Caenorhabditis elegans: one gene and its partner. The protein of the gene in region 1 interacts with the protein of each later gene in a pairwise test. Each region holds a gene or a part of one and is shown on either strand. Other genes may lie near its edges. The genes, in order: let-607 and jac-1.

What was found.
Region 2: the proteins of let-607 (region 1) and jac-1 interact in a two-hybrid assay, tested with the Caenorhabditis elegans proteins (one study listed by BioGRID).

What each region holds. Positions count from the first base shown.
Region 1 is NC_003279.8:6,569,721-6,577,350, forward strand, and holds the start of let-607 (CREB-H transcription factor homolog let-607), read left to right. Parts: upstream 1-4,283; 5' UTR 4,284-4,358; intron 4,359-7,554; exon of another isoform or gene 7,555-7,630. Other genes in the region: ipgm-1 (2,3-bisphosphoglycerate-independent phosphoglycerate mutase), read left to right, coding at 367-504, 554-708, 756-861, 909-1,056, 1,258-1,384, 1,656-2,090, 2,134-2,481, 2,600-2,710. UniProt on the Caenorhabditis elegans protein: Probable transcription factor, required during migration of the gonadal distal tip cells (DTC). Probably regulates cell adhesion of DTCs via modulation of expression of genes involved in integrin-mediated adhesion, including tln-1, src-1, and integrin pat-2.
Region 2 is NC_003282.8:16,022,906-16,030,535, forward strand, and holds the start of jac-1 (Fibronectin type-III domain-containing protein), read right to left. Parts: upstream 3,943-7,630; coding exon 3,788-3,942; intron 3,649-3,787; exon of another isoform or gene 3,624-3,648; intron 3,528-3,623; exon of another isoform or gene 3,507-3,527; intron 3,484-3,506; exon of another isoform or gene 3,463-3,483; intron 3,251-3,462; exon of another isoform or gene 3,230-3,250; intron 3,085-3,229; exon of another isoform or gene 3,064-3,084; intron 2,902-3,063; exon of another isoform or gene 2,875-2,901; intron 2,724-2,874; exon of another isoform or gene 2,703-2,723; intron 2,666-2,702; exon of another isoform or gene 2,645-2,665; intron 2,517-2,644; exon of another isoform or gene 2,493-2,516; intron 2,147-2,492; exon of another isoform or gene 2,126-2,146; intron 1,863-2,125; exon of another isoform or gene 1,839-1,862; intron 1,690-1,838; exon of another isoform or gene 1,669-1,689; intron 1,658-1,668; exon of another isoform or gene 1,632-1,657; intron 991-1,631; exon of another isoform or gene 967-990; intron 875-966; exon of another isoform or gene 854-874; intron 693-853; exon of another isoform or gene 672-692; intron 454-671; exon of another isoform or gene 433-453; intron 356-432; exon of another isoform or gene 331-355; intron 1-330. UniProt on the Caenorhabditis elegans protein: May act as a positive modulator of hmr-1 function during epidermal morphogenesis. Required for proper localization of other junctional components, such as pac-1.

The DNA of each region.
Region 1 (7,630 bases):
TTAAATTTCTCGAAACAAAATTGATCGATGATCAAACTTCTTATTTGATAACGAATCAACAGTTTTGATTTAATTCCATTTTTCATAATCTCGTCATTTTGTTTTGCCTTTTTTTTAATTGTCCTTTTTTCTTTCTAATACCTATTTTTATATTAATTGATTGCTAATGTTTTAATTTTAATGGAGGTTACATTTAAAAGTTTTGCTCCGAATATATTTGAAAGAAATTCCTTCACAAGCATCATCTAGTATTTTTATTCTTTTTATATTTTGTGCGAGAAATCACAATCCCCCTATAACAGCTAATAGTTTTCGCCTTTAAACTCAAAAATTTTTCAATTTGCATCATATTCCGATATTTTTCAGGAATGGCGATGGCAAATAACAGTTCGGTGGCCAATAAGGTCTGTCTCATCGTTATTGATGGATGGGGAGTTTCTGAAGATCCTTACGGTAACGCTATTCTCAACGCACAGACACCAGTTATGGACAAGCTGTGTTCGGGTAAGATTTTATTTATTTCAAAATTGTTAACCCAAGAACATTTTTCCAGGCAATTGGGCTCAAATTGAGGCACATGGTCTTCATGTTGGTCTCCCAGAAGGATTGATGGGAAATTCGGAAGTCGGACATTTGAACATCGGAGCCGGACGTGTTATCTATCAAGACATTGTTCGTATTAATCTGGCAGTCAAGAACAACAAATTTGTATGCTTCCAATATTATTTCAGAATATTATATTTCGTAAATTTTAGGTGACTAATGAGAGCTTGGTGGATGCTTGCGATCGTGCTAAAAACGGAAATGGACGTCTTCATCTGGCCGGACTTGTTTCTGACGGAGGTGTTCATTCTCATATTGGTAATATTCATTTATTTATTTTCAATTTATGATTTTTCTCATTTCAGATCACATGTTTGCTTTGGTTAAGGCCATCAAAGAGCTCGGAGTTCCAGAACTTTACCTTCATTTCTACGGAGATGGTCGTGATACTTCTCCAAACAGTGGAGTTGGATTCCTTGAACAAACCCTCGAGTTCTTGGAGAAAACTACTGGGTTAGAATAATGTGATAATTTATGGGGTTATTCAAGTAGTGTCGGAAAATTAAAAAGTGTAGAAAAATTACGCCACAACTGTATTCAAGTATATAAAAACATGTATTTAAATACATTTGTGACGTCACAAATATATTTAAATACATTTCGCTACATTACTTGAATAACCCCATTAGGAAACATGTTTAAAAATATTTTCAGATATGGAAAACTAGCTACTGTAGTTGGCCGCTACTATGCTATGGATCGCGATAACAGATGGGAGCGTATCAATGTTGCATACGAGGCAATGATTGGAGGTGTTGGAGAGACTTCCGATGAGGCTGGGGTATGATTTTAGCGTATAAACTGATTAACAATTCAAAAGACGAAGAATGAACAGTTTTGGATTTCGTTTAATTATAATTTTCTAGGTATCAAAAATCATTTACTAAATATAAAGTAGTTTTCTTCCGTACAATGTATGATATACCAAGATGCAAACTTTTCACTTTAAATCAACAAAAATTCAAATTCATTTCAATTAAAAATGTTTCCGAGAGAAATTCGAATTCTAATTTCAGCAAGTTTAAATAATATCTAAAATTATCATTTTCCAGGTTGTTGAAGTTGTTCGCAAGCGTTACGCTGCTGATGAAACAGACGAATTCTTGAAGCCAATCATTCTTCAAGGAGAGAAAGGACGTGTTCAAAATGACGATACAATCATCTTCTTCGACTACCGTGCTGATCGTATGCGTGAGATTTCTGCAGCAATGGGAATGGATCGTTACAAGGATTGCAATTCGAAGTTAGCTCATCCATCAAATCTTCAAGTATATGGAATGACTCAATACAAAGCCGAGTTCCCATTCAAATCGCTGTTCCCGCCAGCATCGAACAAAAATGTATTGGCTGAGTGGCTCGCCGAGCAAAAAGTTTCGCAATTTCATTGTGCGGAAACCGAAAAATACGCTCACGTTACATTTTTCTTCAATGGAGGACTTGAAAAACAATTTGAGGGAGAAGAAAGGTGTTTAGTGCCCAGTCCAAAGGTAATACTTTGATGATATAACTTCGAAAATTGAATATTTCCAGGTCGCAACTTACGATCTTCAACCAGAAATGTCTGCGGCCGGCGTTGCTGACAAAATGATTGAACAACTCGAGGCTGGAACTCATCCATTCATTATGTGCAACTTTGCTCCACCAGATATGGTCGGGCATACGGGAGTCTATGAAGCTGCTGTCAAGGCCTGTGAAGCTACTGATATCGCAATCGGAAGAATCTATGAAGCAACTCAAAAGCACGGATACTCACTTATGGTTACTGCTGATCACGGAAATGCTGAAAAGATGAAGGCTCCAGATGGTGGAAAACACACTGCTCACACATGTTACCGTGTTCCACTCACTTTGAGCCATCCAGGATTCAAATTTGTCGATGTGAGTTTTTGTCAAACGTTTGAAATTTTTATTTAAAAAAAAACAGAAACCCATATGTTAAATGAAAATATTAATTTACAAACGGGTGTAAATAGCTATTCACTTCACACGTTTACAGCCAGCCGACCGTCATCCGGCCCTTTGTGATGTTGCTCCAACAGTTCTCGCTATTATGGGACTCCCTCAACCAGCTGAAATGACTGGGGTCTCGATTGTTCAGAAGATCTAGATTCAAGTACAATGATTTCAATATTCAAGTTCTATGAACTATATTTTCTACAGTATTCTTTTGTCCAATTTCTTCCCAATTACCTACTATTCAATTCTGTTTATAGTCTGAAAATTTTTATGTATTTAGATCCTTAAATTAGTATGAATAAAATTATATTGCACTGAGAAAATATTTCATTCATTACTATGACCTGTCGGATGACTCATATTCTATTTGCTATTTATGTTTTTTTTCTTGCTCCGGAATGAGCTCTGTAGTCAGTTGCTCAACATTTTTGAAGGGTCAATTGATGGTGACATTTGGCCAATAGACACACTGAGCACATCTGCGGAGCACTCTGACGGCTCGCAAAAGATTGATTTGATCGGACTTTTACTGGGACGAACTGAGAAAAACCATTGGTTTTCTCTGCGTCTCTTAATTTCTCAAACTCTCTTGATTTAGTATCTTATCGTTTCTTCTAATGCTCTCTCTGTGTGACATTTTTCATTATAGTTTCTCGAAAATTCTTTGGAGAAAATGTTGCTAGCATTTTGATGTCACTTTCGTTTGAAAACTCCAGAAACCTCGCCTTTTCCTTATCGTTTTTTAGCATCACTCAGTTAAAATGACCTATTTGTGCCACGAACCCAGTTTTATTGAGAAAAATCGAAATTACTAGGTGAAATTCTATTTTTCGTTGACTTTGAATACGTGTTTGATCGAATTTTGATGAAGCAAAAAACATGAAAATTACATGACCTTGCCCTAGATACGTGGCTACATGGCCTGACCTTTTAATTAACAGAAAATTTTAGGATTTTTTTAGGATTTAATCAGCAGATCATAGATTTTAAAGAATTACATCGTTTTTTAAATCTTCAGAATATTTTTCTGGTTTTTAAGTAAATGTACATTTTATAAACTTTACAAAGTGTAAATAAGAAAAATTATTTTGTTGAGAAAAAAATCGAGCATACAAAAATTGAGACCCGAAGAACTCGGGGGATGTCCTATTGGGGGGATTACCAACTCGGGGGATTGGCCCCGCCCACAGAACCGTGGCTTGCAATACGCCCATTTCTGCAACTGCCGCACGGTTTTAAAACTGTATTTTTCTCAATAGAGCGAGAATTAACAAGAAAAAATAATTTTAAAACCGTGCGGCAGTTGCAAAAATGGGCGTATTGCAAGCCACGGTTCTGTGGGCGGGGCCAATCCCCCGAGTTGGTAATCCCCCAATAGGACATCCCCCGAGTTCTTCGGGTCTCCAAAAATTCAGAAAACTATATGGAAAAGGAAAAAAGGCAATTGGACATAATAATTTTTATATCCTTCACAATTTTCTGAAACTCAGAGATTTATTCAAATGATTTTTTGTTGGTGTTTTCAGTGTCCACTTTGAAAAAAATTCCGCAAAAGTTTCCGCAAATTGTTTTTCTCGTGGCGAGACCCATCCGAAAAAATCCGTGCGCCTTTAGAAACGCATTACGGTACTTGTCGAGGCTTCTTTTTCAAATATTTACGTTGAATTTGTGTTTTCTTCGTTATTTTCAGATTAATATAATATTAATCCATTCAAATCTTTCAGAAACTTCCCCAAGCGGTCTTCTCATCTCAAAATTTGCCACGTGGCCACGCTCTCTTCTCCATAAATCTGAAGAAGGTGGGTTTTCAGTTAATGTTTATCTTTTAAAATTATTTAAATTTCCAACAAAAAAAAAACAAACGAAGTGACGTTGTTAATTCAAATGCTCGCGTCATTCCTCCACTAAAGAGTCCAGTATTCAGGACTTTCTCTCTTTTTTCCTCTTCTTCTTCAATTCTAGCTCTGTTTATGGAATAGCCGTTTTTAGCTGCTCTCCCCGTTTCGCTTTCTTTCCATCTTTTCGTTTCCTCAATCCAAATTATATTTTCACTTCCCTTTTCAGCTTCTTTTTCACTGTTTCTTTGCTGCTCGCTTCTGCATTCATTTCCGCCCACATTCAGTGAAAGAAAGCTCTTGACATTTATTTTAGTCAACGGATAGCAGCCAGTTTTGGGCTGAAAATGGATAATTTACACTAAATACTCGATAGCAAAAATTCAAAAAAAATTATGGAATTTCTGTCTTAAAAGGGATTCGTGAATTCTAGAACTATTTCGTATCGATCATAAATTTTATAAATCCCCTAAACTTTCGAATATCTGTACATAAATGTAATCCTTTCCGATTTTGTAAAACCGGTTTCCTGTGGTGAACGACTTGTTATTCTACAAGTTTTCTTAACTTATTCTCGAACCTTCTCCTTTCTTCTTCTTCTTCTCATTTTCCTTTCCGTCATCTTTCCCGCATTGAATAACAAGATCTACATACCGTTAGTGATTCCCTTTTTGTGTAGAAATACAAACGATTTACACGAACAAGGAAGTTTGTACCGAGAGAGAGAGAGGAACTTGGAATGGAAGAGAAACATTATTTCTCTCTTTTCACTTCCTAATAAGAGAATGAATATAATGACCAGAAAGCAGTAGAGAAGAAGCCAGAAGTGTGTGGACAAGCGGACGCGACGAGATTATAATTGATACGGTTTTCGAAGATGAAGTGACAGCGAAAAGAGGATGAAGCCCGGTTTCGGTGCGATAATGATGAGGAAAAAGTGAACGGATTTTGAAGATTTAGGAACTTTTATTTGAGAATATCACTTAAAAATGTTGAAAGATTTTGGAAATTCAGATTTTCTCGTTCCGGGGCCATAACTCGAAAAATTATGAAATATTGTGCGTTCTTTGTTGAAAAATTAATTTAGCCTTTCAATAGCTCAATTATGAAACATACATATATCTTCAATTTTAAAAACTATCCTCTATTTTCATTGAAATCCGATAGGAATGTCAGTAAATAAAATATCAGTTGAATAAAGCACGTGCTCATTAGACCGAAATGGCTCATCTCATTTTCCATCTCCATAGATAATCAAAACATTGTATTTGTTTGGTTTGAAGATTAATTCTTATTTATAAATATGATTTGAAAATAGGAGAAAATTTTATGTTTTTGAAGTGTGCTCACAACCGGAAAATCAAAAAAATTGTAATGACAACTAGGGTACGGTATCTATGAGTAATTTCCACGATTACCTCTTTGAAAGTATATGAAGCCAGTTAGTATTGTTGTTTTTCGAAAAAAATTTGCTGTTTCCCAGATTCCGTATAGTTTTTTTTCTTGTCACTCGTTTACATAATTACATCCACTCCTTTGGCTTCTTCTGCTTCAAGTTTCCATTCGTTTTTTGACATGTCTCAGTTTGAAGTATGAATTCTTTTTTCAATTGTTATTTATCCCGTTCTTCGTGTTGGCATTTCTTTTCTGAACATAACTGGAACTAGAGCGTGGATAGACTCACAATCTATTTAGATGATGTCCATAAAACACTTGGGATCTTTAACTTACACAAAATATATGTGCGTCAAAATATGAAAAAATAATAATATTTCCGGCTGATTCTCCGTTTTCCAATATTCCCGTCAATGGCCTGCGTTCTGTTCTGATTTTTTTCATGGCCAACAATAAAATATTTATTTTTCACTTTCCTCTCCATCTTTCTTTGCAATATAGTTATTCCTGTGGTTCTTTTCACTTTTTTCATAGAAAGTTCTGCGATGAAATTGGACGGTTTTGTTAGCTAAATTTCAATATTCTAGATCCACCAAAATACTCTATTTGCATATAATAAGTAGGATGTACGTACCTGTATAAATATCATTGCTCTCTTTCACAAAACCCGACAGTATCCATGAGTCATTTGCGTCTCTGTTATGAATGTATGGTATATGTATGAATTACGCACTATTCCTCTTTTTTCTGTGTTCTCTTGTCCGGCTAGCTGAAGTAGTAATAGTAGTACTTGACCAACAGTGAAAAGTGTGATCGACGAACGAATACCGTCATATTCTGGTTTTGTAGAGGTTTTTGGGAAATAGTGTTGGACGAAAACTTTCAATACATCCAAATTCGCATTGAATTGTCATTACTTCAATCGGTTTTTTCTTTTAATATTTTTGCCTGGAGTACCGTTTTTTAGCGTCAAGGCTATAATCTAGTTTTCATGCTGCTATATATATTTTTAAAACTATTTTGTACGTGGCCTTCGATAATTTCGGCTCATCTTTCACTGGTTCTCATGGCAGTTTATATTATTTGCGCGATCTGTTTGTGGGATTAGCGCACCTAAACGGATAACCCAAAGGTAATGTCGGCATGTCATCCGTCTCAATCAAAAGAAGCAAAAGAGATGGCGCAATAACCTTTCCGAGATTTGATTGGAGAAAAACGAATACAGTTTATCGCATTGCGGACGTCATGTCTCCGGGTAACCTGCTGGGTAATTGGAGGCGGCAAGTGTTCTTGAAATCTCAATTGATCTAGAGGGGATCAAAATGAAATTCTAGAGTAATCAAACAGATATGAGAACCACTTTATTACCATTCTTATTTTTTAGCGTTCTCTTTGCGGCCCACGTTAGATTAGTTGATAGAATATCTCACGAAAAGCCGATTCGAATTGGAACTTTGATTTCCTAGATGTCACCTAAACGACAGCAGTGTTCCTAATTCACACCCACCTTCTCAAAAGTCAAGACATTATGTCCTTGGAACATGGAACCTTAGACAAGTCCTTGGAAGTCTGAAGAAAACCACTTGTTTTTCTTATTGGTCCATCCCTATCTGACTGCTCAAGGTCTTTCTGGTACTTTACTACCGAATGTTACGTGCATCATTCTCCATACAACACTTGCTGGTCCCTTACTATTGTAAATACCATCCCTCAAATGTCTCTACGCCTCTAACATTCTCTTGCACTCTAGGCACTGTCTGTATGGTTGACCTAGTGTGTGAGATGATCCCGAAGGGAAAGACCTCTTGCGCTGACCGAATGGGCGGCCCCCGAGACTTCCT
Region 2 (7,630 bases), on another chromosome or scaffold:
TTCAATACTTTGATAAGGAAATTCAAAAATTCTAACAATATTATATCGTTTTTTAATTTAATGAAACTATAAACTTTTTGGTTCAAATTAGATACATAACGTATCAGTTCAAATTTTGAAAAAAAAAATTTTTTTTCATCATAGCAATTCGTACTGATAAATATTATAAAGCGGGAAAATTTTGGGAAGCGACTTTTAGTTGGGAAAGCTTTAAAAGTATCACTGTTCAGGCAACTGTGCCTGCGTCGTACCTACCGAATGCCGATTGGGTTGCACTTTAGCTAGGACATTTTACATTAACAAAAACAATCGGCCACCAAATTTTATAAAAATTCAAACCATCGAACTTACACAATTTTGCTCACATTTCCCAGAAGAAATTATAAACTTCTAGAAACTGCATAAGTTTTTATCAAGTTTTATGTTTCTTATTCACATCAGCAAGGTACTATATTGACTAAAATTCAATGCTCACGTTTAGATACTTATTTGAAACTGCAATTTTTTTTTTCAAAAAAAAACTGTCAAATTTCATTGAAAACACCTTTCTGTAACAATCTGTAATTTTTTCAATTTAAGAAAAACAGCTATTAATAGTTTTCGAAAAAGTTCAAATAAATTGATAATTAATTATTTGAAAATTTCAGATTGAATGCAAATCTATTTGTCACAAGTTATCCAGTATATGAACATTAAATTTTTGAAAAAAAAAAACAAATTATATGTTTCGTTTGAAACAGTACTTGGCAGTTTTTTGTTATTTTTAAAATAAATCAGCAGTGAACTGAAATTTTAAAAAATTCACTGACAGCCTAAAACAGAGAAATAATTTCAGATTAACAGCTTATTTTGTCCGCTGGAATGATTTTTCCCACTAATATTTGAAACATTTTCGAAAATATATGATCTATTTGAAACAATGTTAAGAAGAAAAATTGTTATGTGAAATATCTAAAAATAGTATTTAGAGAAATTTTAGACAAAATAACAGTTAACTAAAAAACTTGAAGAAAATTCAACAACATCTTGAAACAGTTTTTTTTTCGAATATTCATAGTTAAAACTGAAAAAAACAGGATTTTACACAATTTTTTCTTTTTTTTTTAGAATTCATCTTTCTGTTGAATTTTAGCAAAAAAAACTGTATTTAAAATCAATTTTATGTAGAGAACGTCGTTTACAAAACTACATGCTCAAAGAAACATCTAAAGCAGTGGAAAAAAAGTGTCTCCCATTCTTCAGAAAATCTCTCCACAGTAAAAGAACAAAAAGTCATCGGAAATGAGAACGGCGAACGCAATTTATTCATTTGTTCGTCCCCTCTCTTCATCGAGGACATTCTCTCACTCACACCTTTTTAACCTTCTGTCTCACTCTCTATTTCTCCACTCTCTCTACACACTTTGGCAGAGTGCCAACGTGCGGGAAGAGAGTGTGAGACGCAGAGTGGAGAGAGGGAAATGACATATTGTTTTAGATGGTCTCTTGTTTGCCGTGGAGAAATGGACCGTTTGAGACAGGGAAGGGAAGGGTATTTTCGATTACTCACACCTTGCACATCCTTGCATTTCCAGTGACGTCATCGGGAACCAATTGTCAAGTTTTTAAAAATTGCTGTTTTACTGTTTCATTTTATCCTTATCAATTGTGCAATAAAATAACAGCTAATCAGAAACATTTTCTCAAAGTTTTGAAACAGTAATTTTAATTTAAAAATTGAAATTTCTTGAAGTTTTAAAAGCAAATTTATGAATTTTCACCGTTTAATTATTTTGAAATATTAAAAAATTTTCAGGCAAGGATTCCATGTATATTATGAAACTTATATGGGTCAAATTTATTTCAAAGGTTAAGTAACAATAATATGAGTTTAACTTGCAAGTCGTTAAAAAACATATTGAAATAGTTTTTTTTGCCAAAATAAAGTGGCCTCGATAAAACTTTCATTAAGCAAACATTTTTTTTGCAAATTTTGAAGAAAATTAACTTGGAATACACTTAAATAAAAACTGCTATTAAAACATTCAAATGTTCAATTTATTCTTATTTATGGTAGGCTGGTTACATTAAAAAATTTTTAACTTGGTTTTGCAGTTTCAGTTGCATATACATTGTCAAACAAAAATTAGATTTAACTATTTTTGGATCTGATAACCAAAAATGTTCGGAAAAAAGTATAAACCCTTGAAACCGAAACTATTTTTTTCAATTTCTAAAGTTTTGCCGCAACTCAAAAGTTGCAATAAATGACCACTAGCGTCGTCGTTCCAATCCAATGATATACCAATAAAACATAGCCGAAACGAATATTAATGACAATAATAAACATTTTGTAGACCTGGCTGAGAGATAGTGTGGGATTTGGAGAGACGGAAGACACAACACTAATCCGATGCAAAAACGGAAAAAATAGGACGGACTGTTTGTATTTGGCGGCGGTTAGGGTTTTGAAACGGCTTTTTTGGAGGGAATTAAAGAGAGGTGAGATGGGAATATCGGATGAATTAATGGCACTATCTTTAATCAATTTAAGTAGTTTTATCTAAACAATTTGAAACAGTAGAAATTTATTTTTCGCAGTCGAGAATTTTAGAATACCGACTTTATGCAGAATTAGGTTGCTTTTAGAGAAATTATCAACTTTCAAAATATATCTGGTTTCCGACTGCCTTTTTATTTTCGAGAACTAATATGTTAAGCAATAGAAACAGTCGGAAAAAAGTTTCCAAAATTTTTTCCTTGACAAACTCCGATTTTCTATTTTTTAACGAAATATTTTACTACTTTTCAGAAAGAAAATTTTGAAATAGGCAACTTTTAACCAGTAATTTGTTTTACAAAAAGTGGTGGAACAACGGTCAAAAAGTGGTTGATTTCTCTGCGTTTTGTTCAAGAGCGAGAATGTCACTCAATTCAGAGCAGTTTTATCTTAAGGTGTAAAAACAGTAGAAAAAAGTTGATACCAAATTGTAGAACAAAACACTTTCTGTATTATTGCTTTGAATATTTTGGATTTTCATAAATATTTTAAAGAGAAGATCGTAAGCTATGCAGTACTACTAGAAAGGACAGGCACTTAAATCAATATTTAATGGAAAATTAAAGGTTTTATTTGGGAAACTAGAAAAAGTAAAAATAAGTGTTAGATTTTTTAGCTAAAAGCCGAGATTTGCTGTTGTTATGCAGAATTAGTTCGTTTTTGAAAAAATACACTACTTTCGTTTCAGCTTGTCAACGAGACCCTATGAGACTGCCCTTCTATTTTGGAGCAGTTATATCTTAAGAACTAGAAACAGTTTTTTTTTTAATTTTTAAACTTAATTTCTAGTTTCGGAATTTTAACTATTTTTTTAATACGCAATCAGTTATTTCTTTTGTTTTTTTTTAATTTTAAGAGTATCAATTTGAATGTGTGAGATTATTCAGAGAAAAAAATCGAGATCATATATAATAAAAACTTATCTGTTTTTCTTTGATGTCAAAAAGAGCTTAGATATTTTCAGTGATATCTAAGGAACTTGAAACTTTAGAACATTTTGTTGGCTGAAAATTTAATTTTCTTCAAATAAATATGTTCTATGCCCAATTTTTAAGTTAGTTTTTGATCAATTTTTCATTTCTGGTTTTGAAGTTCGATTTCAAAAATAAGTGCTTTTCTATTTCCTTGTACTACTTCTCAAGAACCAGAAACTGCAAAACTTTTTTTTTCAATTTCAAAATTAATTCAAACTTTGAGATCTCTTTCAAACCCCTCCCAAAAATAAAAATTCCAAAAAAAAAAACTAACCTAACTAGCGTATTAATCTGTTCCGAAGTGTACACCTCCTTCTTTCGCATCGTCCTTTTAGCGGTATCCGACATAGCTCCCCACTCGGAGCCATCCGCCTCGGTTCCCTCCTCTGGTATGGGCTCCATTTCTTGCATCCACCCCGAGGAGATCATCTGTAAAATGTTGGGATTTTGAGGAGGAATTATTGATTATTTAAAAAGTGGACGGAGAGTTGAGAGAAAATGTTAACAATGAGACATCAGATATGGTTTTATAACAGTGCTTATGAGTACTATGTGAAAAAGTGAATTTTTTTCAAAATTTTTTTTTAAAACAAAATTTCACCTATTCACATTTTCGATTTATTTTGCAAAAATTTCACGAACAATTACGTGATCTAGTTCCGAATAGAAAAAATAACATTTTGATATGCATTCAGGAATAATTGTAAATTTTAGTATTCTATGGAGAATTCTGTTAAAACCTTGAATTAGCAGTTTTAATAGAAATCTCAAAATTAATTATGACAATTTTAATCAATTTTTGAGTGAAGTGAGAATTTTCATACGAAAAATATATATTTACTGCATCGTAGTACAATTAGTTTTATTATAAAATTAGCTTTTTTTGTGAACATTCTGAAACAGTACTTGTCAGTAGAGTAGAGAACAAAACAGACCGATTTTTGAATAATTCTTGAAACGGCCAGTTTTCTCAAAATCGAAGCGTTTTTCAATTGAAAACAAAACGATTTAAGACATTTCTGAAACGGTGAAATTTGTTTTTTCGAAAATGCAAAAAACTCCACAATTTTTTCCAGAAATCAACGCGTATTCCGGATTTCTAGCAACAAAAAACGTTATGCGACGAAGATAATACATTTTCCTCTTAAGAAATTAACTTTTCAGCAGTTGTAGAAATTTTTTTGAAAAATAATGTTTCAAGTTATCCATTTATTATCGTAAAATTTGCTTCTACATTGAGTACAGCTCACATTCAAAAATTGGTAATTCTTTAAAACTTTCATTGAGAAACTTTCTAACAATCAAAAATTCCTAAATTAATTGAAAAATTTTGAAAACGAATTTGACGATTTTCTGCACAATTTCGGAATTTTCGTAGAAAAATTTCAAAAAAAAGCTTTTTTTAAAAAATATCATTTTTTGAAAAAAAAACCGTAAATTATGAAGAACTGTTAGTAAACCGAGTAATATTACAAAAATGCAGATGAAATTTTGGGAAAAGTCAAACATTTTCATCCAAAAGTCATTTTTTTCAAATTTTTAATAATAATTTTAATTATTCTGTAAGAATTCAACGTAATATGCCACGTGGAAGAAAGTTTAGGATGGAAACAAATCTAATTACTCAAGTAAACACCATACTGCAAGTTAAAAAATTTATTTGTTTATATGTTACTTTTGAAACGGCAAATTTTTTTTCCAAAATTGTCTTTTTTTTAATAGCGAGATTCATGGAAAATATAAAAATGCTCCAAAACTTCTATTTTCGAAAAGAACAGTAAAACCAAAAAAAGCCAAACCAAAAATATCATAATTATTAATCAAAGCACCCGTCTCCCATCGGAGGTGGTAGACAATTGGTGGGTGCAAATAAATTTTTTTTGAGCAAGATTGATGAGCCGCGATTTGGAGGGAGCCGCTGAGGATCCCAGTGGGAAAAGTGTAAGAGAAGGCACTTTTTGGTGGGAAATTTGAAAAAAATTTAGGATTAAAATTGTTTCTGTTTCAAAATGTTTTCAAAGTTAAAGACAAAGTTAATGTGAAGTTTTATCTCAAAATGTTCATTTTAAGCGAGGTTTTGTTTTTAAAATGTTTGCTGTCGAAATGGCTATGCAAATTTTAAATCAAACTCATCAGCTCCTGCCGATTAGGTTTCTTTTCTTCGGTTGTTACATAACCCTACAGTAATCCCTAAAATATTGTAAATAGCGTTTTAGGACTTCTCCCAGCTAAGAGACGCAGACAACAACAGAACCTCGATCGATGTCGGCTGCGTTTTTTTTTCAGAAAAATTTCACTTTTTCATATTCATCATGTTTTCAAAACTTGTAATGATGAGAATTGTTGGCCTTCGAACGGAACAAGATATCGCAGCTGCGTCTCTCAATCACCAGTACTGATAGTATTACTGTAGGTAGTACTGTAGGGGTACGGCAAAACAGGTGTTAGAAGAAATTTCCTAAAGTCTCTTTAGCTGCAGTTAAAAACTAGCAGAAACTACTTAGAAACAGTTAAAACCATAAAATTTGACTTTTCTGGTTCAATCGGAATTAGTTAGAAAAAATTTGTAGCACTGTTTCATGTCATTTTCAAAGATTTACTACAGTTATTAAAAAAAAAGAAAACTAACGAGTTTCAACAATCGGAATCAGATATATAAGGCTTGTAGAGAAATTGAGAAATTGAGAAACAGTAGAGAAATTGAAACAATCTTTGAAAAAAAAAACAAATTTTGACTGTTTCAGTATGTTCATAAGTTGGTTAACACAAATGACAATGTAATCTGATGATTTTTCTATATTGAAACTGTTTAAAAACAAACAAATTTGACTATTTCAATATGCTCATAATTTCTAGAACAAATATTGTTAAACATTCGGAATGGGTTCAAGTCAGCAAAATTTTTTTGGAAACATCAGAGAGGATTCGTGGTGAGCCCTTGTATTTCTAAAAAAAACTGAATTTTTAGTAAAAATTGCGAAATAAGAATTTAGTTTGAACTGTTTCACAATGTCTTTAACTTCTGAAAATTTTTAAAAATAGTTCCGTCCATGTTTATCACAAATTCAAAGAGAATACTTAAAACATATTTTGAAGAGTATTTTTTTCTAAATAAAAGTATCAATTGAACCATTCCACTGTTTTTCACGATTTTCTCAAAAAAAAAGTCCACTGTTTCAATGTCTGCATAATGGCGGGAATACAACTTTTTAAATATTGAGTTTTAGATAAGTTTGCCACAAAACAAATCTGAAAATAGGCTTCAGTTGTAATATGTGGTTAGATTCTGTAAAAAACATAACAAATATCTGTTTTCACGCGCAACTATTTAGGCCAGCGCGTAGGCCGTTTGACAGGCACGCATGCCTGAAAGTGTGCCTGCTTACAGCAAAATATCATTCCAATAAAACTGCGTATAAAGTGTAAAAAAACGAAATTTTTAAAACTACAAAAAATTACTGTTTCAAAAAGTTAGTATAAAAATTTACGACAAGCGGAGTGATTTGTTTTGTCGCTTTAGGTTCAATTCGTCTATAAAACTTTTGAAAAATGCTGAGCAACTTTGTTTTGCTTTGGAAACAATTTTTCCACAAATTTTCATGAAAATCGTCCAAAAAAGCCAAAAAACTCCCCATTCCTACTTTGGAAATCTACTGACGCATGCACTAATCTGGGATTCACCTACCCTATAATTTCCGCCATTTCGATGGTAATCACTCATATTTTTTAAAATTTCGAATATAGATTCGGATGACAATTTCAATTGAAATCAAACATTTTCCCACATTACACAGAGAAATAGAGAGATAGACGAAAAAATGAGAGAAAAAATGTTCCGTTTTTTGTTGTTGTTCGAGGCGTGCACCTGCGGTGCAGGTGGTGTTGCATTCGGTGGGAAATGTGAGAAAAATGAAATTTTTAACTTTTTCAGAGAGCTGTGAAATTAAAAAACAATTCAAGTAATTTGTGAAGCGGAGAAAAAATGGCAAAAATCATATAAATAATAAACTTTTTAAAAATTGTACATTTTTATCAATCATTTGAAACAGTGGAATTTTTTGAAACTTTTTCAAAATGAATTATACCGTCCTATATATTTCAATGAGCTTTCTGCCAA